4 linked regions of the Saccharomyces cerevisiae S288C genome follow. The gene in region 2 interacts genetically with the main gene of each other region. Each region holds a gene or a part of one and is shown on either strand. Other genes may lie near its edges.

Region 1 (11,507 bases), on a different chromosome or scaffold from region 2:
TCCTATAGAGGCGTTACCAAGGTAGGATTCGGCGAGTCGAATTTCACAAGTATTATCGGTCCTAACGGATCTGGTAAATCGAATATGATGGATGCTATCTCATTCGTACTCGGTGTGCGGAGTAATCATTTGAGGTCAAACATCTTGAAAGATTTAATCTATAGAGGTGTTCTAAACGATGAGAATAGTGACGATTATGATAACGAGGGCGCTGCCTCTTCGAACCCACAATCCGCATACGTGAAGGCATTTTATCAAAAAGGTAACAAACTGGTGGAGCTGATGAGGATAATTTCCAGAAACGGTGACACTAGTTATAAAATTGATGGAAAAACTGTCTCCTATAAGGACTATTCTATATTTCTTGAGAACGAAAATATTCTTATCAAAGCCAAAAATTTTCTAGTGTTCCAGGGTGATGTTGAGCAAATTGCAGCACAATCTCCCGTAGAATTATCAAGAATGTTTGAAGAAGTATCAGGTTCTATCCAATACAAAAAGGAGTATGAAGAGTTGAAGGAAAAGATTGAGAAATTAAGCAAATCTGCAACCGAATCTATAAAAAATAGGAGAAGGATCCATGGAGAATTGAAGACATATAAAGAAGGTATCAATAAGAACGAGGAGTATAGGAAACAATTGGACAAAAAAAATGAATTACAGAAGTTCCAGGCTCTATGGCAGTTATATCATTTAGAGCAACAAAAAGAGGAGCTAACGGACAAGCTGTCCGCATTAAACTCTGAAATATCGTCTTTAAAGGGAAAAATAAATAACGAGATGAAATCATTACAACGCTCAAAATCTTCCTTTGTTAAAGAAAGCGCAGTAATTTCTAAGCAAAAAAGTAAATTAGATTATATCTTCAAGGATAAGGAAAAATTAGTCTCGGATTTACGGCTCATAAAGGTTCCTCAACAGGCAGCAGGGAAGCGAATTTCCCATATAGAAAAAAGAATCGAAAGTTTACAGAAAGATCTTCAAAGACAGAAGACTTATGTGGAGAGATTTGAAACACAACTAAAAGTGGTGACCAGATCAAAGGAAGCTTTTGAAGAGGAAATCAAACAATCTGCTAGAAACTATGACAAATTCAAGCTAAATGAAAATGATTTAAAGACATATAATTGCTTACATGAAAAATATCTGACTGAAGGTGGGTCAATCCTAGAAGAAAAAATTGCCGTTTTGAACAACGATAAGCGAGAAATCCAAGAGGAATTGGAGAGATTCAACAAAAGGGCAGATATTTCTAAAAGAAGGATAACGGAGGAGCTTTCTATAACAGGAGAAAAATTGGACACGCAATTAAACGATTTAAGAGTTTCTTTGAATGAGAAAAACGCCCTTCATACTGAACGTTTGCACGAGCTGAAAAAATTACAATCTGATATTGAATCTGCTAATAATCAAGAATACGACTTAAATTTCAAGTTGAGGGAAACGTTGGTTAAGATCGATGACTTGAGTGCTAATCAAAGAGAAACAATGAAAGAAAGAAAACTAAGAGAAAATATAGCAATGTTGAAAAGATTCTTCCCCGGAGTAAAAGGTCTTGTTCATGATCTTTGTCACCCAAAAAAGGAGAAATATGGCTTGGCAGTGTCTACCATCTTAGGTAAGAACTTTGATTCCGTCATTGTAGAAAATTTAACCGTAGCTCAAGAATGCATTGCATTTTTGAAGAAGCAACGTGCGGGCACTGCATCTTTCATACCACTAGACACAATTGAGACAGAGTTACCTACATTATCATTGCCTGACTCACAAGACTATATTTTATCAATTAATGCTATTGACTACGAGCCGGAATATGAAAAAGCGATGCAATATGTGTGTGGCGATTCCATCATATGTAATACGTTGAATATTGCTAAAGATCTGAAATGGAAAAAGGGCATAAGAGGCAAATTGGTTACAATTGAAGGTGCTTTGATCCACAAGGCCGGTTTGATGACAGGTGGTATATCAGGAGATGCCAATAATAGGTGGGATAAAGAAGAATATCAAAGCTTAATGTCTTTAAAAGACAAATTACTAATCCAAATCGATGAACTTTCCAACGGTCAACGCTCTAATTCAATCAGAGCAAGAGAAGTTGAAAATAGTGTTTCACTATTGAACTCGGACATAGCAAATTTGAGAACTCAAGTAACACAACAAAAACGCTCCTTGGATGAAAATCGTTTAGAGATTAAGTACCATAATGACTTGATAGAGAAAGAAATTCAACCGAAGATAACTGAACTAAAGAAGAAGCTAGATGATTTAGAAAATACTAAAGATAATTTAGTGAAAGAGAAGGAGGCTTTACAAAATAATATTTTCAAAGAATTCACTAGTAAAATTGGCTTTACAATCAAAGAATATGAAAATCATTCCGGTGAATTGATGAGACAACAATCTAAAGAATTACAGCAGTTACAAAAACAAATTTTGACCGTTGAAAATAAGTTGCAGTTTGAGACAGACAGACTAAGTACTACTCAAAGAAGATATGAAAAGGCGCAAAAGGATTTAGAGAATGCTCAAGTTGAAATGAAGTCTTTGGAAGAACAGGAATATGCAATAGAAATGAAAATCGGATCAATAGAGTCTAAATTGGAAGAACACAAAAATCACTTAGATGAGTTACAGAAGAAATTTGTAACGAAGCAAAGTGAATTAAATTCCAGCGAAGATATTCTAGAGGACATGAACAGCAACTTACAAGTCTTAAAAAGGGAAAGAGACGGTATAAAGGAAGATATTGAAAAGTTTGATTTAGAGAGAGTAACAGCGTTAAAGAATTGTAAAATTTCTAATATAAATATACCTATATCATCTGAAACAACGATAGATGATTTACCAATATCTTCCACTGATAATGAAGCAATTACAATTTCCAACAGTATCGATATAAACTATAAAGGACTACCTAAAAAATACAAAGAAAACAATACCGATTCGGCAAGGAAGGAGCTGGAGCAGAAGATTCATGAAGTGGAGGAAATATTGAACGAGTTGCAGCCCAATGCAAGAGCTTTGGAGAGATACGACGAGGCGGAAGGAAGGTTTGAAGTGATTAATAACGAAACAGAACAACTAAAGGCCGAAGAAAAGAAAATATTAAACCAGTTCCTAAAAATTAAGAAAAAAAGAAAGGAACTGTTCGAAAAGACATTTGATTATGTGAGCGACCATTTAGACGCAATCTACAGGGAACTTACTAAAAATCCCAACTCCAATGTGGAATTGGCCGGTGGTAACGCTTCTTTAACCATAGAAGACGAAGATGAACCGTTCAATGCGGGAATCAAATATCATGCCACTCCGCCTCTTAAAAGATTCAAAGACATGGAATATCTTTCTGGTGGTGAAAAAACCGTAGCTGCATTAGCTCTATTATTTGCTATTAATTCCTACCAGCCTAGTCCCTTCTTCGTGCTGGACGAAGTGGACGCAGCCCTAGACATTACTAACGTCCAGAGAATTGCTGCCTATATAAGAAGGCACCGTAATCCAGATCTCCAATTCATTGTCATTTCATTGAAGAACACCATGTTTGAAAAATCTGACGCTCTCGTTGGGGTTTACAGACAGCAACAAGAAAACTCGTCGAAGATCATAACTTTGGACTTGAGCAATTACGCAGAATAATCTATGAAACCAACCTCTGCTATAACCCGTCAAATAACTAATAATATCTATATAGGTCAACTAGCTAGTGCAATATCATAGTAACAATAATATTAATAACGTCACTTTTTTTCCAGGGTAACCCAATTGTGGTGGGTGGCGGCCGAGGTATCCCTTAGAAAAGAATTTTTTAAGTTCTTTCTCATCTCTTACCAGTGGAGAAGTACACGATATTTGCAAAGTCTGTCATCAGGGCTTGATAATAAAGCTGCATTAGATCTTAGCAAAAACTACGAGAAGAACATTGAATATTGTAGCTGTATTTGCATACATAAACTTTATCATTGTTCGTTAGCTAGCTTTGCACATTAATTTTTCGATTTGTTACCGCCAATGACCGCTAACAATGACGATGATATCAAATCACCCATTCCCATTACTAACAAGACCTTATCCCAATTGAAGCGCTTTGAGAGAAGTCCAGGAAGGCCCAGTTCTTCTCAGGGCGAGATAAAACGTAAAAAGTCTAGGCTATATGCCGCAGACGGAAGACCACATTCTCCGCTAAGAGCAAGGTCTGCTACCCCAACGCTACAGGACCAAAAACTGTTCAATGGCATGGATTCCACTTCCCTTTTGAATGAAAGGCTACAGCATTATACGCTGGATTATGTTAGTGACAGGGCCCAGCATATGAAGAATATATATGACCCATCATCTCGCTGGTTCAGCAGATCCGTGAGGCCTGAATTTCCTATTGAAGAGTTCTTACCATATAAGACTGAAAGTCATGAAGATCAAGCGAAATACTTGTGCCATGTCTTAGTTAATCTTTATATTGCGATCAGCTCATTAGATATACAAGGTTTGATTTCTATTTCCAGTAAAGATCTGGCTGATTTAAAGAAAGAAGTGGATGATTTAGCTCTTAAAACCGATCTTTTCAGGTTATCTAACAACACAGCGGAGAATGACTTACTTGGTAACGATATTGCTGATTATGACGATGCGGAAGGCCTGGAGGACGAATTGGATGAATACTTCGACTTAGCAGGCCCCGACTTTAATGCTACCGGAAAAATCACAGCTAAATCAGCTACTATTGTGAATGTAAACCATTGGACTAATGAGCTCAAAAATTGTCTACATTTTGATTTTCCAGTAGCTTTAAGAAAGTCGCTAGCGACAGTTTATTATTATTTGTCTCTTGTTCAGGGCCAAAAGGTGTATAGACAAATGCATGTCGATATGTTCGAAAGATTAGTAAGCCTTGACGATGATAGGACAAATTTCACTGAACTGTTGCAAAAACAAGGTCTTTTGCTAGATCATCAAATCATGCTCAATTTCCTGTGCGAATTTCTACCTTATCCAGATCCCGACTATGCTCGTTATGAATTATCATCAAAGGAAGATTTACAGTTATTTAGATTACTTTTGAAGCATGCACATAATGCAAAACCATTTTTCGATAAGTCAAAGGAAAGTTTGTTAGTTGATACGATGAATTTTCTGTTGTCTAGTCTTGCACCATCTACTATGATGGCTGTCATGCCTATCGTTACATCCGTTGTGCCCTATCATTATCATATCCATTCTAAGATCATCGATTATTTCCCGTTTTGCTATAGCATCTGGAGCTCAGTCAGCGCAAACGTGGCCATCGACACTCACATGTATGATTTTGTTGGGTCAATTTCCAAAGACGTTCATAATAAGATTTTGAGTAGCGAGCATGAAAAGGATGTAGTTGGAGTGGAGTTTGGAGAATTCGGGATTTTTACTGATGATCAAATGACTTTTATGTTCAATAGGTTACAAGGCCATCTTAGAACAGACGGTCAAATACATTCGTATTCCCGCACAGTGAAGCCTTTTGTTTATGCTATAAACGGATCAAAAAAAGATAGGTTTTTTGAAAAACTTGTAAGTTTAGCCAAAGCAATCGAAACATTTATCCATCCCTCTAATAATGGGTTTTGGACCAAGCCAAATGCTAAATTCGTTCATGCATTTATAAAGTCTTACCACGGAAGGGTCAAATATGAAGAAGATATTTGTGCTAGGGGCGTCACAAATGGGATATGTTTAACTTCTTTTTGTCACGAAGAGATAGTTGAAATATTCTTAAATATTATCAGTCTGGGTTCACAGAATAAAAATCCTGATATTGCGAACTATTACATCTCTTGTTTCGCATATCTGTTAGAGCTGGATCCTTCAAATGCATATTTAATTTATGACAAAATACTGATAGATTTGTACGATACGCTGGCTGACCAATTTATCAATTCGAGACACAGAATCATTTCCTCTTTGAAACAATTTACAAGAGTAATTCGGTTTATTGTGATGGATAAGCTATATCGCGTGCACATAACAAACGTCCTTTCGATGCTGGTCTCCAAACTTGATATGAACGATACTAATTTGACAAGCAACCTCATCAACGGTATTGTATCTATAGCCGCTTTCATTCCTATCCAAGACCTCACTGGGGAGGACGATTATATATCGTTTGAATCGGATACTCTTCCTTTAGTTCAACAACATTTTTATCATATTAAGTGTGGCGAAAGTTCAAAGACCTTCCGAGTTGATGATGAACTGTTAAATAACGCTTTCAAAGCTTCCACTACAGTTTTTCAAAGTATGCTAAAAGTATACGTAGAAAAAATTTTCCAATTGGTTGATGTAGACTTAGAGGACTCTTTGGTTACTAAAATAAACCAAACAACTATGATTTTACAAGAGTCTATGGACGATAAAATATTTAATTATTTTGCTTCTTTATTACAGAGAAACTTCTGGAGTAATGACTCCTTCAAGGAAAAGGATCCAAACTATGAATTAGTTACTATCCCACTAGCGGCTTTAGTAAGAAGGAATAATGGTTTGAGTAAAGAGTTGGTCAGAACTCTTTTATTCCATATCAAAGAACAAATCAAAAGAGGCGCCGGGTCTGTAAGAAGTACTTCAGAGATTCAACAGAGGGATGTTAAGTTAGTTTTATACTTAACTGCACTAAATGATGTCTTAAGGCAATGTCATGAATCTCTATTGGAGTATAGCGATGAGTTGATAACATTCATGAAATATTTATACGACAACGTCACTAACCCGCCATTGGATGTTATCACATCTATTGTTATTCACAGTGCTTTAGCAACTCTATGTACAACCGAAATAACTGATTGTCGTCTATTCCCAGAGGACTCTAAGATTCCGGAAAAAGACAGATGGGGAGGACTACAGTTCGATCCTCGAAGATTTGATAAACAGCATTTGAGTTTTCAGTGGCACGTACCTTCTAGTGACGAGATAACTTTATCCATAAGCATTCTAGAAAGCCTTTCCGAATACTGTATTAACAACGTAGAAGAACTGATGAAAGCTCCAAGACATGATTCCGAATATGGCGATATGATACAAAAATATGTTTTAGTTATGACACATACGCTTTCCGGGTCAAGTTTACTTTTTGATCCAGATTTTAACAAATATAGGACGCAATCAAACTTATCATACAGAGAGAAACTGATTTTATTAAAGAATATACGCGAAAATAATTGTGACCCTCAAGAACTGGATATTGATATTGAACAAATTCGTTCTGGCAAGGATGATGAAGACTATATTGAGAGTAAGGACATTGAAGCAGGGCTGAATGCAGGAGTTTCCGATGTTGTGCAGTTAAGAGATGAGTTTCCGGATGAATTAATTGTTGATGAAGAAGTAGTGTCTGAGATGCCATCTGGTGTAAATACCCCTATCGCGGGGACGCATGGCACGGACAATTCAGCTATGAGTTCGGATCTAGCTTTCAGGGATTTAGATATTTACACCTGTAATTATTACTTCGGAAATACCACTGAGGAGAAGTTACAAAACCCACAATATTTACAAGTCCACAGAGTTAGAGCGCGCATTGGACATTTCTTTCACAAACTCTATGTTTTTTTATCTACAAACTTCGAAAACAACACCAACATGTTCCAAATTCTATTGCACGGATTGAAAGTTTGGTTCACAGATCTGGGACAAGAAACGGTCTTCAATGAAGACCCAAATGCCTTCATTGACGTTGATTTCCTAGAAAACGTTCAATCTCTCTCACACGTAAATGAGCCCTTCACGAGAACCAATTTTGCAATCAGAGCAAACAGTTTGCACCAGAGTAGAGTTCTATTACATTCAACAAATAGAAAAGCTTCCAAGCTGGAAAACCTATTGTTAGTTGACATCATACAGTTAGCGACATCCCTTTATCCTGATATTTATAAACCAGCACAGGGAACTTTGGTACACTGTATGAAACAATTAGTTGGGTCATATGGCGTAGTCATCAATAAAATTATTCCATCATTAGAGAAAGCGATTAAGGATCATGATTATATGAAAATCCAAGTTATTTTAAATGTTTTGTTAATTAAGAAAATCCATAGGAAGCTTATGACGGATTATAAAGACATCGGCAGATTGATATTTCTGCTTATTGAATGTTGTCGTGTGAATGAATTAGAGATTGGTATGTATGCAGATAAAATCTTAACTGACATAGTGATTGGGATCAAGATTCCTTCTAGTGTATGTGTCATTTCCGATCAAGCTTTCTTACCTTTAGCACCTCCTGATGGTACTATTAATTTGCAAGTTGAAGCGGTAAAGCTTGCCAAAAAGAAAAAGCGTGAGTACTACCTCTCTCTGTTAGTGGATTTGCAGGACAAACTTTTAGACAAATTAGATAATGAAAAAGATATGGGGTGGAAGATAAGAATGTTCATTTTACGTTTTGTTACACAAATCCAATCGAACCTCGAAAGCAAACCCGATAAAAGAGCAGTATTTTCAATAATCTCCCAAATCTCCACAAAACATCCCGAAATCATACATTTGGTTGTAAAGTCATTGTTGTCGACGTGCAACAAGATAATATCTCTCTCTGACTATGAATATGACATCACCAGGGCCTATAAGAATGAATTCAATCCATCATTTGTGGAAATACTGGACACTTCGACCACAAGCTTCCCTAAAACGTTTACTGAAGAAATGAATAACTTTGATAACCCCAAGTATTTTATCGATTTGAGGGCGTATGTAGGGTGGCTATGTTGGGGAAGGCTTATGTACGTCATGTCGCCGAAAGCTTTAAAGCTCAATTTACGTGAGAATGAACTGGAAGTCCTCAAGACAGCTGGTCATCTATTGACAAGAGAATTCCTGAGAGATGTTACAATGAATTTAGTCCAAGATAATGAAACTAGGGGTGTTTTTAGTAGTGGTAACGTGTCATTTTTCTCTTTAGTAATCCTTTTGATATCATCTGGTTTCTGCGAACTGAATATGTCGGATCTCTTTGAGCTATGTGAATCCTACTATAACAAAGACGATAAGGCTTCGATGATCATGTCTGTCGAGATAGTGGCTGGCTTAGTTTGCGGGAGTAAGTTTATGTCAGTCTCTGACTTGGACAAACGTGACACTTTTATCGAAAACTTCCTAGCCAAATGTTTAGATTATGAGTTGAACCATGACGCATTTGAAATTTGGAGCACCTTGGCATGGTGGTTGCCTGCAGTCGTTGATTTAAGAAGGTCTAAAACTTTTTTTTGCCATTTTATCAACGCCGATGGCATGTTTGACCGTGAATCTGATGCAGCCACACATCAAACCTCCAAAATTTACATGCTAAGAAGTATCTTGATGAGCATGGAATTTAGAGCCCCAGATGTTGGTAAGCTATTTGATGAGTTGGTATTTGATCACCCATACGATCAGGTTCGCCAGGCTGTCGCTAAACTATTGACGACCTTAGTTCAAAATCAAAGTAATCCGTCAATTTCAGATCCAACCACATTATTAGAAGCAGAACGGAATGATCCAGATGGATTAGGGTTACCATTAAAAAGCGTCCCAGAAAAGGTGGATGCCTATATTAAGAAGCAGTTTGAGATCATTAAAAATCTGGAAGATTCCGTTGTCGGCCTGAATCCTCAACAATTTATTAAGACAGACTATTTTTACAGGACATCCACAATATTTTATTGGATCAAAGAAATGGCGAGAGGGCCTAATAAAGTTTTGTTAGTTCCATATTTAGTCGATTATGTTTTACCATTTCTGATCGGATTAGTGAAACATAAAGATGTTTGTGCTCTTGCCAGTTTAGATCCTGTTCGATTGTATGCCGGCTTGGGCTATATGCCGATCAGAAAGAACCATGTTGCCGCCATTGTTGACTATGTTTGTTCGTCAAATGTAGCACTATCTTCAAACCAAACGAAACTACAGCTAGCTTTCATCCAACACTTTTTATCAGCGGAACTGCTTCAACTTACTGAGGAAGAAAAGAACAAAATTTTGGAATTTGTTGTCAGCAATTTGTATAACGAACAGTTTGTAGAGGTGAGAGTTCGTGCGGCATCCATTTTGTCTGATATCGTCCATAACTGGAAAGAGGAACAGCCGTTGTTGAGTTTAATCGAGAGATTTGCAAAGGGTCTCGACGTCAACAAATACACGTCGAAAGAAAGACAAAAGTTATCCAAAACGGATATCAAGATTCATGGTAACGTTTTGGGTTTGGGAGCTATTATATCAGCGTTCCCCTATGTTTTTCCCCTACCGCCATGGATACCCAAGCAACTAAGCAACTTATCCTCGTGGGCCAGGACTAGTGGTATGACTGGACAAGCTGCCAAAAATACTATTAGTGAGTTCAAGAAGGTGAGGGCCGACACTTGGAAGTTCGATAGAGCATCTTTCAATACGGAGGAACTGGAAGACCTGGAGGGTGTCCTATGGAGAAGTTACTATGCCTGATTCATATTAGTATAGGATATTAAGCACATATCTAGACATATATGTACATCTAAACAAATAGCTGGAGCTATCTGCTGATTAGTTTTACTCTAAAAGTAAGTTGTTAGTGTAACTATGATCACGGCTGCGTGCCGGGTAATAAATCAATTTTGAGGAAAACTGGAAGTTCACCACTGAGAATGATCAACGGCAGGGAAACGTTATACCAAACAAAGCATTCTACCTCTAGGGAAGCTGGAAACTTGAATTACCCACTATAGCTTGTCTTTTAGTGATCCATTATTCCAACCTATTGCAATTCCAAGAAAATAAACTAGGAACTTTTTTTTTTGGAAGAATAAGAAAAGGAGAAAAAGTAGACATACTGTATATACACGAGGGCGTATCGTTCACCAGAAAGAATATAAACATAACAAGATAAACATGTCAGGCTTGAGAACTGTTTCTGCTTCATCCGGTAATGGAAAGAGCTATGACTCTATTATGAAAATTTTATTGATTGGTGATTCTGGTGTTGGGAAATCATGTTTATTGGTTCGTTTTGTTGAAGACAAATTTAACCCGTCATTTATCACCACCATTGGTATTGATTTCAAAATAAAGACTGTCGATATCAACGGTAAGAAGGTAAAGCTGCAACTTTGGGATACCGCTGGTCAAGAACGTTTCCGGACAATCACCACAGCGTATTATCGTGGTGCTATGGGTATCATTCTTGTATATGATGTGACAGACGAGAGAACATTTACTAATATCAAGCAATGGTTTAAAACCGTTAATGAGCATGCGAACGATGAAGCACAGCTACTGTTGGTTGGTAACAAGAGCGATATGGAGACGAGAGTGGTAACAGCTGATCAAGGTGAAGCCTTGGCTAAGGAGCTGGGTATACCATTCATCGAGTCCAGTGCTAAGAACGATGACAATGTCAACGAGATTTTTTTCACCTTGGCGAAGTTAATCCAAGAAAAAATCGACAGTAACAAGCTTGTTGGCGTCGGTAACGGTAAAGAGGGCAATATTAGCATCAATAGTGGGAGCGGAAACAGTTCTAAATCAAATTG
Region 2 (3,886 bases):
TTTCTTTTTCTTCACTCTCCTCATCCACGTCATTTTGATCGTTGTTTTCACTTTTGGTGGAATTTGCTTTCACAGTCTCCTCCTGTGTGGACTCTTCGCCTGGTGTGCCCTCTAAATCAGGAGTTTCAGATCCTATAGAGCCTGTGGCACTGCTATTTTTATTCTTCTTACCTTTATTCTTTTTATTTTTCTTTTTCTTCAATTCTTCTACTCTCTTTCTAGCCTCTTCCAATTGTTTCATACGCTTAACTTCATCAGACTCCTGTTCAGACATTGTAACTATATGATAAACTTGCTCAATTCAGGTTGGTTCAATGCAAATTATTACATCCCTTTTTTATCACAAGATCTTCGTAACAATAGTACTAATTAATAGTGCTGGGGATTCTCAACCATTTTTTTTTTTTCAAAAGCGAAAATGGATAAAACGGTGGCAACTTCAAACAAGTTGAGGGAAGCCAACGCAGCGTTTAGGAAAACGTACGACAAGAACAAGAAGATCATCACATTGTAATTATGGATTTAACCGTGGAACCTAATTTGCACTCTTTAATTACCTCTACCACTCATAAGTGGATTTTCGTTGGTGGTAAAGGTGGTGTTGGTAAGACTACTTCATCATGTTCCATTGCTATCCAAATGGCTTTGAGTCAACCAAACAAACAGTTCCTACTGATCTCTACTGATCCTGCCCATAACTTAAGTGATGCATTCGGTGAGAAATTTGGTAAAGACGCCAGAAAGGTGACAGGCATGAATAATCTATCATGTATGGAAATCGATCCATCCGCTGCTTTGAAGGATATGAACGACATGGCAGTTTCACGCGCTAACAATAACGGAAGTGACGGTCAAGGTGACGATCTAGGAAGCTTGCTTCAAGGTGGTGCTCTTGCTGATTTGACCGGTTCCATCCCTGGTATCGACGAAGCTTTATCCTTCATGGAAGTCATGAAGCACATTAAAAGGCAAGAACAGGGCGAAGGTGAAACCTTCGATACTGTTATTTTTGACACTGCTCCAACTGGCCACACATTAAGATTTCTACAACTACCAAATACTTTATCCAAGCTTTTGGAAAAGTTCGGTGAAATTACCAACAAATTGGGCCCAATGCTAAACTCTTTTATGGGCGCAGGTAATGTCGATATCTCTGGAAAATTGAACGAGTTAAAGGCTAATGTCGAGACCATCAGACAACAATTCACGGATCCTGACCTAACGACTTTTGTTTGCGTTTGTATCAGTGAATTCTTATCCTTATATGAAACTGAAAGACTAATTCAGGAATTGATTTCCTACGATATGGACGTTAATTCCATCATTGTCAACCAATTATTATTTGCTGAAAACGATCAAGAGCACAACTGTAAGAGATGTCAGGCAAGATGGAAGATGCAAAAGAAGTACTTGGACCAAATCGACGAATTGTACGAAGATTTCCATGTCGTTAAAATGCCATTATGTGCTGGAGAAATCAGAGGCTTAAATAACTTAACAAAGTTCTCACAGTTCCTAAACAAAGAATATAACCCTATTACTGATGGCAAAGTCATTTATGAGTTAGAAGATAAGGAATAGAAGCCCCTGAATACCATAAATAGATACATACGACATATAACCATAGAAAAAATAGTAATACGATGGTATGTGTGTGAAAAGAAAAAAATTACGTGACGCGACGCGTTTGTTTACTTTTTTCCATTTTATTTCCATGGTATTTTTCAAATGATTTTGGAAAATTATTAGATATTGTTGAAAAAGGAGGAAATGAGAACCCTTTATAGTCGAGAGTAACAAGTAAAGGGGCTTAACATACAGTAAAAAAGGCAATTATAGTGAAGATGAGTTTGTCCACGAAAAGAGAGCACTCTGGTGATGTAACTGACTCTTCATTCAAAAGACAGCAACGAAGTAATAAGCCCAGCTCAGAATACACTTGTCTGGGCCATCTGGTGAACTTAATACCCGGAAAGGAGCAAAAAGTGGAAATAACAAATAGAAACGTTACTACAATCGGTAGAAGTAGGTCGTGCGACGTTATATTGAGTGAGCCTGACATCTCGACTTTCCATGCTGAGTTTCATCTACTGCAAATGGATGTGGATAATTTCCAAAGAAATTTGATTAATGTTATCGATAAGAGCAGAAACGGAACTTTTATTAATGGTAATCGTTTGGTGAAGAAAGACTACATCCTTAAGAATGGTGACAGAATTGTCTTTGGCAAAAGTTGCTCCTTTTTGTTCAAGTACGCATCTTCATCTTCTACTGACATCGAAAATGACGATGAAAAGGTAAGTTCAGAAAGTCGTTCATATAAGAACGACGACGAAGTTTTCAAGAAACCGCAAATAAGTGCTACAAGTAGCCAAAATGCTACAACGAGTGCCGCAATTAGAAAACTGAATAAGACAAGGCCTGTGTCGTTCTTTGATAAATATTTATTAGGTAAAGAATTAGGTGCAGGGCACTACGCCCTGGTGAAAGAAGCCAAAAACAAAAAAACTGGTCAGCAAGTAGCTGTGAAAATATTCCACGCTCAGCAAAATGACGACCAAAAAAAGAATAAACAATTTAGGGAGGAAACTAACATCCTAATGAGAGTGCAACATCCAAACATTGTCAACTTACTAGATAGTTTTGTAGAGCCAATCAGCAAATCTCAGATTCAAAAATATTTGGTACTGGAAAAGATCGACGATGGCGAACTATTTGAAAGAATCGTCAGAAAAACATGTTTGAGACAGGATGAATCCAAAGCTCTATTCAAACAGTTACTTACCGGATTGAAGTATCTGCATGAGCAAAACATCATTCACAGAGACATCAAGCCAGAAAATATCTTATTAAATATAACAAGGCGCGAAAATCCAAGTCAAGTCCAACTTGGCCCATGGGATGAAGATGAAATTGATATTCAAGTTAAAATAGCGGATTTTGGCCTAGCAAAATTTACAGGAGAAATGCAATTCACAAACACACTTTGTGGTACGCCTTCTTATGTAGCGCCCGAAGTCCTCACAAAGAAAGGATACACATCAAAAGTAGATCTTTGGAGTGCTGGTGTCATATTATATGTCTGTTTATGTGGTTTTCCTCCATTCAGTGATCAATTGGGGCCACCTTCATTGAAGGAACAGATCTTACAAGCTAAGTATGCGTTTTACTCTCCGTACTGGGATAAAATCGATGACTCAGTACTACATTTAATATCCAATCTTTTGGTCCTAAATCCTGATGAAAGGTACAATATAGATGAAGCTTTGAACCACCCTTGGTTCAATGACATACAGCAACAAAGCTCGGTCTCATTAGAATTGCAGCGTTTACAAATTACTGACAATAAAATACCCAAAACATACTCAGAATTATCTTGCCTCTAAACATGAGAAGCATTATTTCAAAAACATTGTTTGAATCTGGATTTTTCCAAGTATCTATTTATATATACATATATATCCACCAACATGCAAAAAGTTGTTAGCCTTTCTTAATCCTAATATGATGTGCCACCCTATCGTTTTTTACCATTTGCTTAATTGTTCTACTTTCTCCTGCAGCTCTTTTTTAACCTTAACCCGCATATAAAAAATGTCACAGTTCTTATTTGAACACAAAACTTCACTATGTAAGTTACCAGCGCACCTTTGGCATTGTGTCCATAATCTTGAGTATTTTTCCTCTAAATCTCTGACATCGTATAATGCCTTTATGTATAATTCTCCAGACCTTGCTAGACAGTTTGAACAAAGAGGGCCTTCACCTTTCCTCAACGGACCTTTACAACTTTTACAAGCCTCAACTTTTTTAATAAAGCTCATCAAGCCTCCTTTTTGAGAGCCTGTGTTAATTTTAATGGATTTCACAACGAACATACCGTTCG
Region 3 (6,607 bases), on a different chromosome or scaffold from region 2:
AAATTAGTTTCATATACTCATGATTTCTAAACAGTAATTAGTTTTATCTGACTTATTTTTTTTTACGCACCTTTGCATGTACTCTTCCATGTATATCAATATTTGCTATTCTATTACTTATTTCTAGTAAAGTTGGCTCTACTCAGATTAGGTTTCCTGTTTTTGTAATTTGGTTTGTAATGATTTTTATTATTATCTTCAGAGCTCCCAAAAAGTACATCTTTTTCTTGTTGAGATAGCTCATATTCAAGTAATCCTACATCTCCCAATTCTCTTATAAAGTCCAAAAGTTGGGAGTTTTCGTTTGCGAATTCTCGCTGTATCAATTTCAAGTTCAAGTCAATCTTCGGATTTCCTCTCTGCACTTGATTTTGAATACTCTGTATAAATTGCTTTTCTTTCCTTGACTCTTTGAAAATGCTAGGTTGGCTCTTCAGTTCATCTTCCTTTATGCCCATTTCTTGCATATGTTTCTGTTTGTTATTGGATATTTTCAGTAGCCACATTTTTTTTCTTTCTTCTCTCCACTTTTTAACATCTTCATCAGTAATCAATGCTATGGAGGTTCCAGGAACCAAAACCACCTTACCCAACCCCTCTGATTCTAACTGCTCATCACGATCATCATCTTCTAGCCCTAAGTTATTATGATCATCTTCGGCATTAGAATTTGCCAGCTCGGGATCCTTTCTTGGGATTTCTGTAGGCTCCGCAGATGCTTGATCCTTGCTTGATGGTACTGGACTTATTTCATTCATAAACGTATCTTTCCCTCTGTTTTTCTCAATCAATTGTATTTCCTTTACGGTCGGTATTGCAACATCTTCATAACTAATTGATGTTTGGTAATCTTTATCATTCTTTAAGGCTTGAGTGTTTTCACAATATGATGATGGCCACTTCTGTAAATTAAGCGCTGGTGCATAAGATATATTCTGATGAACTGGCGGTATGTAATTTTCTGTATAATTGGGAGGACTCGTATAATTGTACTGAGTGGACGGTTGTATTGGATGGAAATATTGATTATGAGGGGCTACATGATGAAGTTGAGGAGTATAACCGGTATTCCATGAACCTTCATAATACGGAGAGTTCGGATACATATGAGGTGAGTAAGCTGCATTAAAAGCAGAGTCTGTTTTTTGCCTTTTAATTTTCGATTCATCATAGCCATCTGATAGCGTTCCGGAGTATGTAGGTTTGGGAAGCCTAGAATGTCCATCACCCTTCGAATTTTCAAAGTTATTATAATTCATAGTCCATGTCGCAATAAGCTAATCAAAATGGAAAAAGAGATTGACTTATGAGTTAAATATAATAGCATCAATGAAATTTTTAAGTTCCTATTAAGTAAAAAGCTATGCAATATAGAGATATTATGCTATTGAAAATTTTAGTTTGTTCCCCGACCGTGATGGACCATCAGCCGCACGCTCACCAAATTGAGACAGAAAAAAAAAAAAAAACAGCGATCGATATTATCATGATAATTGCTACTTCATCTAATATTTACACGCCTTTATACTGATTTTGCATTATGGTTTTAGTCAAATATACCCCTTGGCTTTTCTACTTGTGTTAGACCCAGCCCATCTTCCATCTCTTTATTGTCCTGTTTCTTGTGATTACTTGTGTCATTCTGGGAATTCAACAGACCTTGCATATGCTTCAATTTTTCTTTCTTGAGCATTCCTTTTCTATCGATATTGCTGCATGAAACCTCATCATCTGCAGCTGGTAACGCTTTTCCCCATGTCACAGTGGTGTCTGCCCTTTTTGCAAATGTAGATTGTTGGGTGGGGTCTTCAGTTTCATTACAAATATCTGCTATGGATCTTTTTAAAGAATTGCTCTCATTACGTGGACAGGCCACTTCATGAGTCGTACCAATGTCAAAACTTTGTTCCCGATTCATGTTCATATGAACTGAACTAGCCTGCCGGAACCGCTTATCTTGTTCGTAATTCGTACTTTGGCTTTGTTCTTCCACGAATAATTTTCTTGCCGTGTTATTTCTATAGGTCTTAGCAACTGTGCTTCCATTATCAGGGGTCAGATACGACACTTTCAAAGGACTGTTTCGAGTTCCAGCCACAGAGTGTGGCAGGTTTTCTCTCTTTAAAGCAGTTTTGCTTTTTAATGGACTTTCGCAGCTTTCTTTGTTGTCTTTCAGTCCGGCCTCTTCTTTGGAGCCAGAGATTGCTGTTTTTATGAATTTTCCTTCTAAAATATCATCGTTAATGTTACTGTCAGTAACTTCAACCAATTCTAATTTTACGCCCGGTTTTTGCATTTGCATAAGAATAGGGTCCCCTGGGTGGCAAAACCATAAACTTATATTATCATTTCCGTCCTGGGTAGTCTTCCAGGATGGACCTATCGTTATGAAGTTTTTGAAGTCCTTCAATTTGAATATTATACTTTTCATATGCTCTCTACGCTTACTATGTGATCGCTTATCTTGTTTTTCATCTTCGATTGTTGTAAATAAGCAATAATGCTCAAGATCGAGCGTACTGATAGTGTTACTCATGCTTAACGCATTTCTTAAAAGGTCGTTATTTTTGCCGTAGACGGCCTTGGTGAATGCAGTTATGCTTAGCCTATGTACGTTAATTTCCAATTTTACTTCATCGGTTACATTAACATTGCAGTTGTCTAAAAAATTCTTCAATAAAGTTGAATTACAACAAATGTAATTAATCTCATCAGCAGCCGTTAACTGATTCCTTTTACGTATGTCTGATTCCACTTCTTCGTTAAATAAGGCTGATGTTAGCTCACGCTCTGTATTTGTAAAAACGTCCAATAGCTTAGGGTCCAAGGGCTCCTGTGGATTCCGATCGGAGGCAGCAGTTCCAAAAACATCCAAAAACCTCCTTTTGTACTTAAGGTTGATTATTATGGGATCGTATTTTATTGGCTGGAATTGGGGACAGTATTCTTTGACTATTAACGAATCCATTTCAATCACCACAATCAATCTATTTGCAAGTGATTCAGGACAGGTAGAAGTGTTGTTTACCGCAATTGTGAATGATTTGATGCCATCACCATCCGGCTTTCTTGATATAGTTGTTAGGTGTCTTCCATTAACACGGAAGGAGTATAACTTATGACTATTGCCGTACGTATCTTCTATAACTTGAACCCCATTTTCTCCAAATACAATCTCATGTGGTTTAAACTCATACTCCTCAAAAAAGCTTTTCTGAAACCTAACCTGACAAAGAGTAGTATCTGTCTCGTTCATTGACCAAGCAATTAACTCATTTGTTGTCACTGTAATCTTGATATCATCCTGAATTGTAGATAACACATATATCGCACGAAACCAGATATTCTGCTTCCCCGACTCGGTGATAGTTGCCTTAAATGACATATATGTCTAAGCAAAGTTATGCTGTGTTATTGTTACACTAGCAATAGTATGTCAAATAATTTTGCAAATCATCTCTGGTCTATGATTACCTTTGGCGGCCTTTGATTCATTCGCGTCATTATTAAATATGCCGTCTCTTTCGGCAAATTGAGTGCACCGCAATAATATACTATGCAGAATAAAATACTTAAATTAATTATAGTTTACGTACGTAATCGCTGTCATTGAGAATTCACGACTTCGATTTTTTTATCGTTAAATGTCAGTGCTTTGGTCTCGAAGAAATTCATTTGGTTCTGGAGAATTTTTTGCTTTCGTTTTTAGTTTGTTTTTTGACTTTGACTTTTTCCCTTTCTTCTTCTTTTTTATAACTATAACTTCTTCAGTATCACTTAAATTATCCTTTTCATCTTTTACAATAAGATTGGCCTCTAAACGACTTAATTCTAACTCGTCTTCCTTTCTAAGGTTGCCCTCTTCCTGCGATCCTCTTCCTGCGTTACTCGATTGCCCAAAATTGGAAAAATCAAAATTTTCAAGTTGAGAGTGCATTCTCAGATTAATCTTGTCCTTTTTCAAAGGATTTTGAGTTGAATGATTATCATGGGGTTTCTGGAATGCATCTTTCCTTTTGGGAGCGGCTTCGATAACAGGTTCATCGGATAAGACTTGAACCCTATTTTTCTTCTTTCCCTTCTTCTTCTTTCTGCTGATTTCAGTTGTAGATAAACTTAGAGAATTCAACGAATTATCGGTTCTATTTAATCTAATAGTTTCTGGCTTTTTATCACTACTTTCCTCCTCATTCAAGTCCAACAAATCTTTAGAGTTCTTAGTTCTTTCTTCGTCTTCTTCACCTAGATAATAAGGATTTGACATCCGTTCCTTTTCTCTCTCAATCTCAAATGGATTTTCAAAATCATCCAATTTTTCCTTTTCTTCATACGAAGTATCAGAATCATCAACGAATTTTAGTTCAACTTGCTCGTCCATTGAGATATCAGACATTAAATCACTGATGGCGTCACTTTTTTGTTCATCTAAGAGTTCATCAGCTGCCTCCTTTGTCAAAAATGGAGTTTCTAGATCAAGATTCTCATCTACTGCTAACTTCAATTGAGTCCCACGCGCAATTGGTGCGAGTTCATAGGCGTTAAAAAAACTAGGCAGGACTTCGCTCAGTAGCATTGGTAGACCTTCCGTATCCTCCTCTAAAGCCTCCAAACTTAGTCTTAAAAATTCTAAAACTTCTACGCTTCTTTCCTGGACTTCGAATGTACTCGAATAAGATAAATTTTCAAAAAATTCAATTAGCTCTTTTAACACCATTTTAATTTCAAAGCGTTTATCCTCCTGAAAGTTATTACACCAATTACTAAATACTTTAACAAGTGCTAAAATTAAAACTTCTTGTACACTATGAGAATAATAACTGATATTCTCAGTCATGATTTTTATTAAGTCGTTACCATTTTCAACTAGGGTAGAAAATTCTCCGAGACACCAAATGCATTCTCTCAATACGGTAGGCAACTGTTTGTTAATATTGTCATTTGAAATAAGCTTTATAATATTAGCAATGGTTACTTCTCTCATTGAAGGAACTTTTATCATCAAATTCCTAAACTGTTCACCAATTTTTGATCCAAGGCTTTTATCAGATATGTCTTGACAGAGCATCGCCAAGTCCATTATTACTGCATTGTACCATTCAAAGTCGTTAACACTGGAATAGTTGTCAGCTGAACAAATCGATATAATGACGTTCACCATTTTTATCTTGTAATTTTCTGGAATTATTATGGGAATTCTCTTTGATTTTTCGTATACGATGCTTCCAGTTTGTAGGATAACCACATCTTCATCTACAAATTGCTTCATCAATGTTTGGACAATTGCCTTTAAGTTATCCTCATCAACAATACCTTCAACCAATTCAATTGCTTTTGATCTTATAGAAACGTCGACATCGGAGAGTAAGCGTATAATCAGTTGGTCGAACCGAGAAATAAAATCAGTATTGATTTTGCCGATCTTGTAAAACAATATGCAGCTAATATATCTCAAATTTGGATCCTGAGAATCACAAAATGTGTGCAATCTTTCCAGGCATGCCATTGCTGTTTCAAAATCATCTTCTTCTAGCATATTCCCCTTGACAATACAGTTGACAGATTCATAGATCACAGAAGTTGCAACAGTACTCTCCATCAGTTCTAAAATTTTCGGCAATAACTTGGCTCTCAATTTCGGTTCCACTTGTGATAAGTTGGTGAATAACTTCAATAATCTAATGATTATCCAGTTATTGTCAATGGTAACTAATATCTCGTATAATAAAGGTGAAAGCTGGATGAATGGTTGGGGGTTTTTTTTTGATAGCTCGCAAATAACACTGACAGCGGCAGAAACCACAGATATATCATCATCGTCTAGCTTTGAAACAAACTTATCAAAATTATCTCTCAAAGCCTCTGGATATTGCAGAAAAACTTTAAATAGTGCGGTAATGGCCTTCTTTCTTATGTACGGTCTTGTGCTGTTTAGCATAGTGAACAAATCATCAGCTATATCTCTTGCTAATGAGGGTGTAATTATAGTGGAAAGACCACTTAAAGCAATGCCAACTTTAACAACATCATTGTTTCCGTCATACTTTAAGTCTTTTTTCAACAAGTTAGTTGCAAGCATCAAAATGTCAGAATCTTTGTAAAAAGATTGTGATGCAGCCAAATACCCCACACGTTTTTGTTGAAGTTTATTACTGCTCATAACCTCTAAGATATGAAAGTTGCACCAAGCCATGTCAAAACCGTACATCTCTAAATAGGTCAATTTAAGAACGGCATTGGTCTTAGAATTTAGATCTGGAGAGTTCACTTCTTCCCGGCATTCACTTAATACTTGTTTAAAGAATTGATCCAGTTTTTCTGGTGTTTCGTTGTGAGACCTAATACCCTTAATCAAATCCTTTAGTGATTTCTCAAAGAAAAACCCAAAAGGACGTAACCTTTGCCGAATATCCTCCGCCCCAGGTGCATATAAAGAGGTCATGACAATATGTTATGCTCTTCTGGTTGTGGCAACTGCCTTTCCCACTTCAGGTATGTTCGTATCTTCATTTTCTTTTTTTTTTCACATTGGGAGATTGCAAGGTTGTTTTTCCCAGCCTGCATACAATGATTTAATGAAGAAAATGAAAAAGAGCATTTCAATAAATGA
Region 4 (7,533 bases), on a different chromosome or scaffold from region 2:
TTTATTAGATAAGCACTTTAGTATTTTTGTTTTTCATGGCCTTATCCTACGTTATTGTCGTGAAAGAAATGGCAGAAATTTCTGTTGTACATAAATTACTAACTGCCTTACCTTGAAAACGGTTTTATTACAAAAATAGGGGTCAAGTGTTTTGTTATCCCTGTTGTTGTTGTTTTATAAGTCCTAATCTCGCTTGAATATCGCCCATATTCACACCCTGTTCTTGACCGTCTACTAAGGTGCCTTAGGGGGACTCAAACTTAAGATCGCCTTCTACGCGTTTTATGCTATGATCATTAGTGTTGATGCATCGGAAGTTTAAAAATTAAGTGCGAGTGCATTAGCACAGTGGAATTATTAGAATGACCACTACTCCTTCTAATCAAACACGCGGAAATAGCCGCCAAAAGACAGATTTTATTCCAAATGCGGGTAACTATTTGTATAATATGTTTACATATTGAGCCCGTTTAGGAAAGTGCAAGTTCAAGGCACTAATCAAAAAAGGAGATTTGTAAATATAGCGACCGAATCAGGAAAAGGTCAACAACGAAGTTCGCGATATGGATGAACTTCGGTGCCTGTCCCTCGAGGAAATAGCAAACTCGTTACAGCTAGCATCTCATAGCATGGGCATAGAGTTTCAGAAATTTTGCTCTTAATGGAAAATATAACCTCTTTGGGGAAAAGAGAAATAGATCCTTTCTCAAAAATTTAGAAAGGAAAAAAAATCAAAATATAATAAAATAGATTTTTTTTAGGTTAATTTTTTGCCAATTTAGCTAGACTTTTGAAAAGATCCAAAAATTTACTAAAATTGAATCTTTCTGGTATTAATTTTGTCCTATACCTCAAGAAGTAAAGTATTCTCGAATTGATACTTCTGAAAAGCGAAAGAAATATAGCTAAAGGATACTGGTTATTTATTCTTTCTTTTTTTCTTTCTTTTTGATTGAGCCAGTGTATAATAAAAACCTACTGCGAGCTATTCAATAAATTGACATAGAATATCTGTTGAAGCGGTTCTTTGATTGAGCATCTGTTTTCCTTTTGTATTTTTGTCCTTTTAGATTCTTTTAACGACATTGGAGAAATTTTAATCATTGTATAAAAACTTCATTCGCTCGTTTGTCAGAAGTTTTTTTATAACTTGCTATTTCCTTCCAAGAAGCCTTTTATTGATTACCCCCTCTCTCTCTTCATTGATCTTATAGATGTCCAACCCAATAGAAAACACAGAAAACTCACAGAATACTAGTTCATCAAGGTTTTTGAGGAATGTACAAAGGTTGGCCTTAAACAATGTAACAAATACGACATTTCAAAAGAGTAATGCGAATAATCCAGCCCTAACAAATTTCAAATCTACACTAAACTCAGTAAAGAAGGAGGGAAGTCGGATTCCTCAATTTACTAGAGAAAGCGTATCAAGATCAACAGCCGCACAAGAGGAGAAAAGAACCCTGAAAGAAAATGGTATCCAACTCCCCAAAAACAATCTTTTAGATGATAAAGAAAACCAAGACCCAAGTAGTCAGCAATTTGGTGCGCTAACTTCTATAAAGGAGGGGAGAGCTGAGCTGCCTGCAAATATAAGTTTACAAGAATCCTCCTCAGCGAAGGAGATAATCCAGCATGATCCCCTAAAAGGCGTTGGATCAAGCACTGAGGTAGTCCATAACTCGGTAGAAAACGAAAAACTTCATCCAGCTAGAAGTCAACTTCAAGTTAGAAATACCGAAAGTGAAACTGATAGTGGAAAAAAAAGACCAATTTCTACAATTGTTGAACAAGAACTGCCCAAAAAGTTTAAAGTGTGCGATGAAAATGGCAAAGAAGAATATGAATGGGAAGACCTAGATGCAGAAGATGTAAATGATCCATTCATGGTCAGCGAGTACGTCAATGATATATTCGAATATCTCCACCAACTAGAGGTCATTACTCTTCCAAAGAAGGAAGATCTCTATCAGCATAGAAATATTCATCAAAATCGAGATATCCTAGTTAATTGGTTGGTTAAAATCCATAATAAATTCGGCTTATTACCGGAGACTTTGTATCTTGCCATTAACATAATGGACAGGTTTTTAGGTAAAGAGCTAGTTCAACTGGATAAGTTACAATTGGTTGGCACATCATGCCTTTTCATTGCCTCTAAATATGAAGAGGTCTATTCTCCTAGTATAAAACATTTCGCATCAGAGACAGACGGTGCATGTACGGAAGATGAAATCAAAGAAGGGGAGAAATTCATTTTAAAGACATTGAAATTTAACCTAAATTATCCCAATCCGATGAATTTTCTGAGAAGAATTTCGAAAGCAGATGACTACGATATACAGTCTCGAACTCTTGCCAAATTCTTATTAGAGATATCATTGGTAGATTTCAGATTTATTGGGATACTACCCTCATTGTGTGCAGCAGCTGCGATGTTTATGTCGAGAAAAATGTTAGGTAAAGGTAAATGGGATGGAAATCTAATACACTATAGCGGCGGGTATACTAAAGAAGAACTTGCGCCCGTGTGTCACATGATAATGGATTATCTAGTGAGTCCAATTGTTCATGATGAATTTCATAGAAAATATCAATCTAGAAGATTTATGAAAGCTTCTATAATTTCCGTCCAATGGGCTTTAAAGGTTAGAAAAAACGGCTATGATATAATGACCTTGCATGAATGAGAAGAGGGGCAGATGCTTAAAATATCTAAAACGATAATCGATAAATGTCCATATAAAATGTATGGCTGCTTTTTAATCATTTCTTTTCACATTTCCATTTATTCTTACAAATTTCACACCCAATTTTAGCGCCTTTCATTCTGTTATTTTTAAACTGACGATAAAAAATCATTCGAAGCCTAAGATTTCCAAAATAAAACTCCATTTTTATTCTCACTAATAACACCACACCATTAATTTTAATTTTTTAATTTTAATTTCAGATTTGTACCATAAGTTTTATTCTATTTCAGTTCAACCGTTTCCGGATGCATGTAGCGAGGGTAGACAAAGAAAAGCATCAGTATCGGATGTTGATATTATGGGAAATATCATAACCTTAGTCTCTTAAAAAATGCTGCTTTCTTCTCATTTTTCATTTCTTTTAAAATTATTTCAGTATAGTTATTATAATTAACATTGGAATAACATTAATAATAATAATTTTTTAATAGTAATAATGATAATAATAATAATAAAAATAAAAGAATAAATTTAAAAACAAAAAAAATTCTAATATTAATGATGATAATAGTAGTAATACTGGTGGTATTATATATGTTGAAGTGAACACGCATATCACTATAAACTATATATACATATATATAGATAGATAGATAGATGCAAAAAATTTTTTCCTTTTAGTTCAGCAAAAAGAAAAGAAAATGTAAAGAGTATGCGAATTCATGAGCATTACTAGTACTAATCTACTTAAGATTAAATAGATTTTGAAAGTTGCTATGCATTTCGGATGTACACCACTTGAAAGTTTGGAAATAAACAGAGCCATACCTTGGTTTCTTGTACTTCAAAATCAATGAATCTAAATGAGTTTTGGAACTAGCGATGTCTTTGACTAGATCAATGCAGAGAGACTGAAACGCTTCATCGTGTATTGGATCGATACCACCACTGTAATGCTGTAGTGTTCCATTCCATAGCTCGTTCTTGTTTCTGTTGGTCATTCTTCTCGCTATATACATTGCCATTGCGCTTACGGTAGATGGAGGTAAATGAATGAATTGGTGGCAGCAGTAGGCATACTCTAAAATAAACTTACCAATATTTCTATTAACCGGATCGTAATCATCTGCCTTGGAGATCCTCCTTAGGAAATTGAGTGGGTTGGGCCAACCAATGTTGAATTCTAAGGAAGTGAGCATGAACATTTCCGCATTTTTTATGTCGTTTTTAGAAGCCGCGCCGTCAGTGATATAAGCGTATTCAGCTAGTTTGGGCAAATTTACCTCTTCAAATTTTGCCGCGATGAAAAGTGAGGTAACTGCCAATAATTGTAACTTGTTCATCGTAACTTTATTTTTAGCTAAAAATCTATCCATTAAGTTTATGGATAGGAATAACGTTTCCGGATAGCATTGAAATTTTTCGTGCACCTCTACCAGCCAATCCACTAATATTGTTCTCATGGAAGGCCTCAAATAATACTTGGACGTTTTGTCGAGTAAATAGTTGTGCGATGGTAACGTTTCTAATTCTCTTCTATATAAAAATGCAAAAATTTCAGCAGAATATTCTGCTACCATTGCAGTATCATCTTTTTCAACATAATCTAGGTCCTGCCAGCCTACTATTTCACTCACTCCTTCAGCGTCTATTCTGCGTTTTTTGTTCACTATCGAAGCAGCATCATCATCTTCTCCTTCTTCTTCTTCTTCTTCTTCTTGCTCTGCTGCCGTTCGATCGTTATATATCTGTCTTTTTTGAACGGCGCTAACAATAGGTCTAATGTTTTCTTCTCTTCGTACTTTGGCCGCCTTGCTCCCTGCTACTATTCTCTTGTTCTGGCTTAAAGGATTATTGTTCACTGGTACATCTGTTAAAGCCCTTCTTGGTTTAGAATCCTGAACCTGCTGCTTACTAGAGCTGTCATTTTTTGAAAGGGCCCTTTTATTTTGAAGAATCTTTAGGTTTGAATTGCACAACTGCCTCTCATTTTCATTATAAATCATAGAATTTCTTTTAATACTCTGCTCATGGTCGTGGTTCTCTCCCATTGTTCAGTAAAGGTGTTCAGCGGCTTTAAATACAGGGAAAAGCGCGTTACTGCTAATTATTAAGCTTATTTTGCTTTGTGTGAGACAACTAATTGGCCGTGAAAAGCTTTAGGTGATTGAGTCTCTTGAAGTACAAAGACAAAAAGACTTCAATAGATAGACAGAAAAAAAACTTTTCTTGAGAAGCTTAAGAATTAGTTCCAAGTAGCTTCTAATAAACCGATGAACGCAAATGAAGTTCCCTTCGCGGTAGATGGCAGTAGCTATCGGCAGTCACTAGGAAAAGTGAGTTTAGCACAGATATGCTGTGGGCGCTATCCCAATGTGGGCAAAGCGCGTGAACATCACGACGCGCCTTCCCGTTAAATTTTGTACCATCAAGGGCGCGTCTTCACTCGAGATGCGCGTTCTTTTGCTGGTTCTTTTCACTGAGGGCACAGAATATGATACCCACAGTATGACAAGTTTTAATCGAGATAGTTTGACGTTCGTTTTTTACTTTGAATATACTCGTAGTCTTTTTACTTTTTGAGTATAAAAAAAAAATGACTAGCAAAATAAAATTAGTAGTCTAAAAAAGAAAGCTCGCACTCAGGATCGAACTAAGGACCAACAGATTTGCAATCTGCTGCGCTACCACTGCGCCATACGAGCTTTTGAATTATGGTAATTTTGATTATCCTAGAATGTTATATCTCAATATCTCAATATATTTTGGACATCTATGAAACACCCATAAAGCAGCCGCTACCAAACAGACAAGATTCAGTATGTAAGGTAAATACCTTTTTGCACAGTTAAACTACCCAAACTTATTAAAGCTTGATAAATTACTGAAATTCCACCTTTCAGTTAGATTCAGGCCTCATATAGATTAGATATAGGGTACGTAACATTCTGTCAACCAAGTTGTTGGAATGAAAGTCTAAAATGTCATCTATTCGGTAGCACTCATGTTACTAGTATACTGTCACATGCGGTGTAACGTGGGGACATAAAACAGACATCAAATATAATGGAAGCTGAAATGCAAAGATCGATAATGTAATAGGAATGAAACATATAAAACGAAAGGAGAAGTAATGGTAATATTAGTATGTAGAAATACCGATTCAATTTTGGGGATTCTTATATTCTCGAGAGAATTTCTAGTATAATCTGTATACATAATATTATAGGCTTTACCAACAATGGAATTTCGACAATTATCATATTATTCACCAATTAATCACAAGTTGGTAATGAGTTTGATAACAAGTTACTTTCTTAACAACGTTAGTATCGTCAAAACACTCGGTTTTACTCGAGCTTGTAGCACAATAATACCGTGTAGAGTTCTGTATTGTTCTTCTTAGTGCTTGTATATGCTCATCCCGACCTTCCATTTTTTTTTTCTTGGAATCAGTACATAGCAGGTATGAGTTGTTAGAGCTGTTACAAGTTACGGTAAACATTTCAACACACCGTTATTTAACGAATTTATTTGAGAAAGTGGTGTATTTTAAGATATATGTTTGGTTTCGATTGTTGGCAAAGACTATAATATTATGCATATAGGATATACCAAAAATTCTCTCTGAGGATATAGGAATCTACAAAATGAATCTACATTTCATTTTATTACGTCATATATGAATACTAGTCAATAGATGATAGTTAATTTTTATTCTAGCATATATTTAAGTTTGTTTGCGAAACCCTATGCTCTGTTGTTCGGATTTGAAATTTTAAAACTACATTAATGTGTTAGTTTTTCTTTCTTTCTTTCTTTGTCTTGACGTGATTTGGACTTCTGTCTTGCATTCGCGTCCATTCATCTGACCCAATATTCCTTTTGGTTTTGTTATCCTTATAAAAAGAAAGGAAGCTTCTTAGAGGGAAAAAAATGATGAAGAGTAATGCCAAAATATAAATAAATAAATAAATATGAAAATCATTTTCTATTTTTAATAGAATAAGAAGAGCATCTTAAGATTACAATTTCAAGAAATAGTTTACACAGTATATCCAATAACTCCAATAAACTACTTTCCTATACAAATTTCTATGGTGGGATTAATAGTAAAACTTCTGTACTTCTCTAATTCACCAAGAAATTAAGGTAAACATCTGGTAAGCACTATCCAGCTTTTTGCTATTACACATATGGCTTTTCTGCAATCATTTCTTCCCATTTTGTCTCAAGCCGTTAGTCTTGAAACCACAGGCGGAGTAGAGTTACTTGATGCGGTATTTTACATGCCTTTTTTCACTGCAAAAAAAATGAAATACATATTTACACGATTTGCAGGACAGTTTACGATAGTGAGTATGCAGAATAGTTAACACCTTTGTTTTATCCTTTTGTGTCTTAATTATATGATATAAAGGCGCCTGGCGTTATCGGATAGTAATAGATGCTAGTTATCAACATTTCACAATTGAAGGAAATAAAGTTGAAGTACTCAACAAAAACTTACTTCAGAATTAAATTTTTGGGGGGAACATAGGCATCCTATGACAGGTGACCACAAGCCCCTCAACGCAATCTAATATTTTACAAAGTGGTAAAATTCTTTCGTTCTTCGTTTTAATATACAGTCATTTATTGATTCTATTACATTAATATTCCTACGCTTCGGCTCACATAATTAACAGGACTTCGAGTCCGTTAAACTTGGGATCAACTAATTTCTACGGATTAGTGCTTATGCCTGATGTACTGCCATATATGGTGTTATGATATCACATAAATGACGAGAAACGGCCATCGAATTTAGTGGAAGCTGAAATGTAAGGATTAATAATGT

The links.
Region 1: mutations in DUN1 (region 2) and BLM10 together harm fitness more than expected from each alone (negative genetic interaction), as found in Saccharomyces cerevisiae (5 studies listed by BioGRID, with this or other methods).
Region 3: mutations in DUN1 (region 2) and DDC1 together harm fitness more than expected from each alone (negative genetic interaction), as found in Saccharomyces cerevisiae (5 studies listed by BioGRID, with this or other methods).
Region 4: mutations in DUN1 (region 2) and CLB5 together harm fitness more than expected from each alone (negative genetic interaction), as found in Saccharomyces cerevisiae (9 studies listed by BioGRID, with this or other methods).

The regions. Positions count from the first base shown.
Region 1 is NC_001138.5:119,468-130,974, forward strand, and holds BLM10 (proteasome activator BLM10), read left to right. Parts: upstream 1-4,011; coding exon 4,012-10,443; downstream 10,444-11,507. Other genes in the region: cohesin subunit SMC1, read left to right, coding at 1-3,639; Rab family GTPase SEC4, read left to right, coding at 10,867-11,507. UniProt on the Saccharomyces cerevisiae protein: Associated component of the proteasome that specifically recognizes acetylated histones and promotes ATP- and ubiquitin-independent degradation of core histones during DNA damage response.
Region 2 is NC_001136.10:279,807-283,692, reverse strand, and holds DUN1 (serine/threonine protein kinase DUN1), read left to right. Parts: upstream 1-1,844; coding exon 1,845-3,386; downstream 3,387-3,886. Other genes in the region: BUG1 (Bug1p), read right to left, coding at 1-274; guanine nucleotide exchange factor GET3, read left to right, coding at 517-1,581; DNA-directed DNA polymerase delta POL3, read right to left, coding at 3,528-3,886. UniProt on the Saccharomyces cerevisiae protein: Transducer of the DNA damage signal. Phosphorylates SML1 on serine residues. Cooperates with the PAN deadenylation complex in the regulation of RAD5 mRNA levels and cell survival in response to replicational stress.
Region 3 is NC_001148.4:176,055-182,661, reverse strand, and holds DDC1 (Ddc1p), read right to left. Parts: upstream 3,386-6,607; coding exon 1,547-3,385; downstream 1-1,546. Other genes in the region: pheromone-regulated protein PRM3, read left to right, coding at 1-7; RSA1 (Rsa1p), read right to left, coding at 114-1,259; APL5 (Apl5p), read right to left, coding at 3,641-6,439. UniProt on the Saccharomyces cerevisiae protein: Component of the checkpoint clamp complex involved in the surveillance mechanism that allows the DNA repair pathways to act to restore the integrity of the DNA prior to DNA synthesis or separation of the replicated chromosomes.
Region 4 is NC_001148.4:770,439-777,971, forward strand, and holds CLB5 (B-type cyclin CLB5), read right to left. Parts: upstream 4,745-7,533; coding exon 3,437-4,744; downstream 1-3,436. Other genes in the region: B-type cyclin CLB2, read left to right, coding at 1,215-2,690. UniProt on the Saccharomyces cerevisiae protein: Required for efficient progression through S phase and possibly for the normal progression through meiosis. Interacts with CDC28.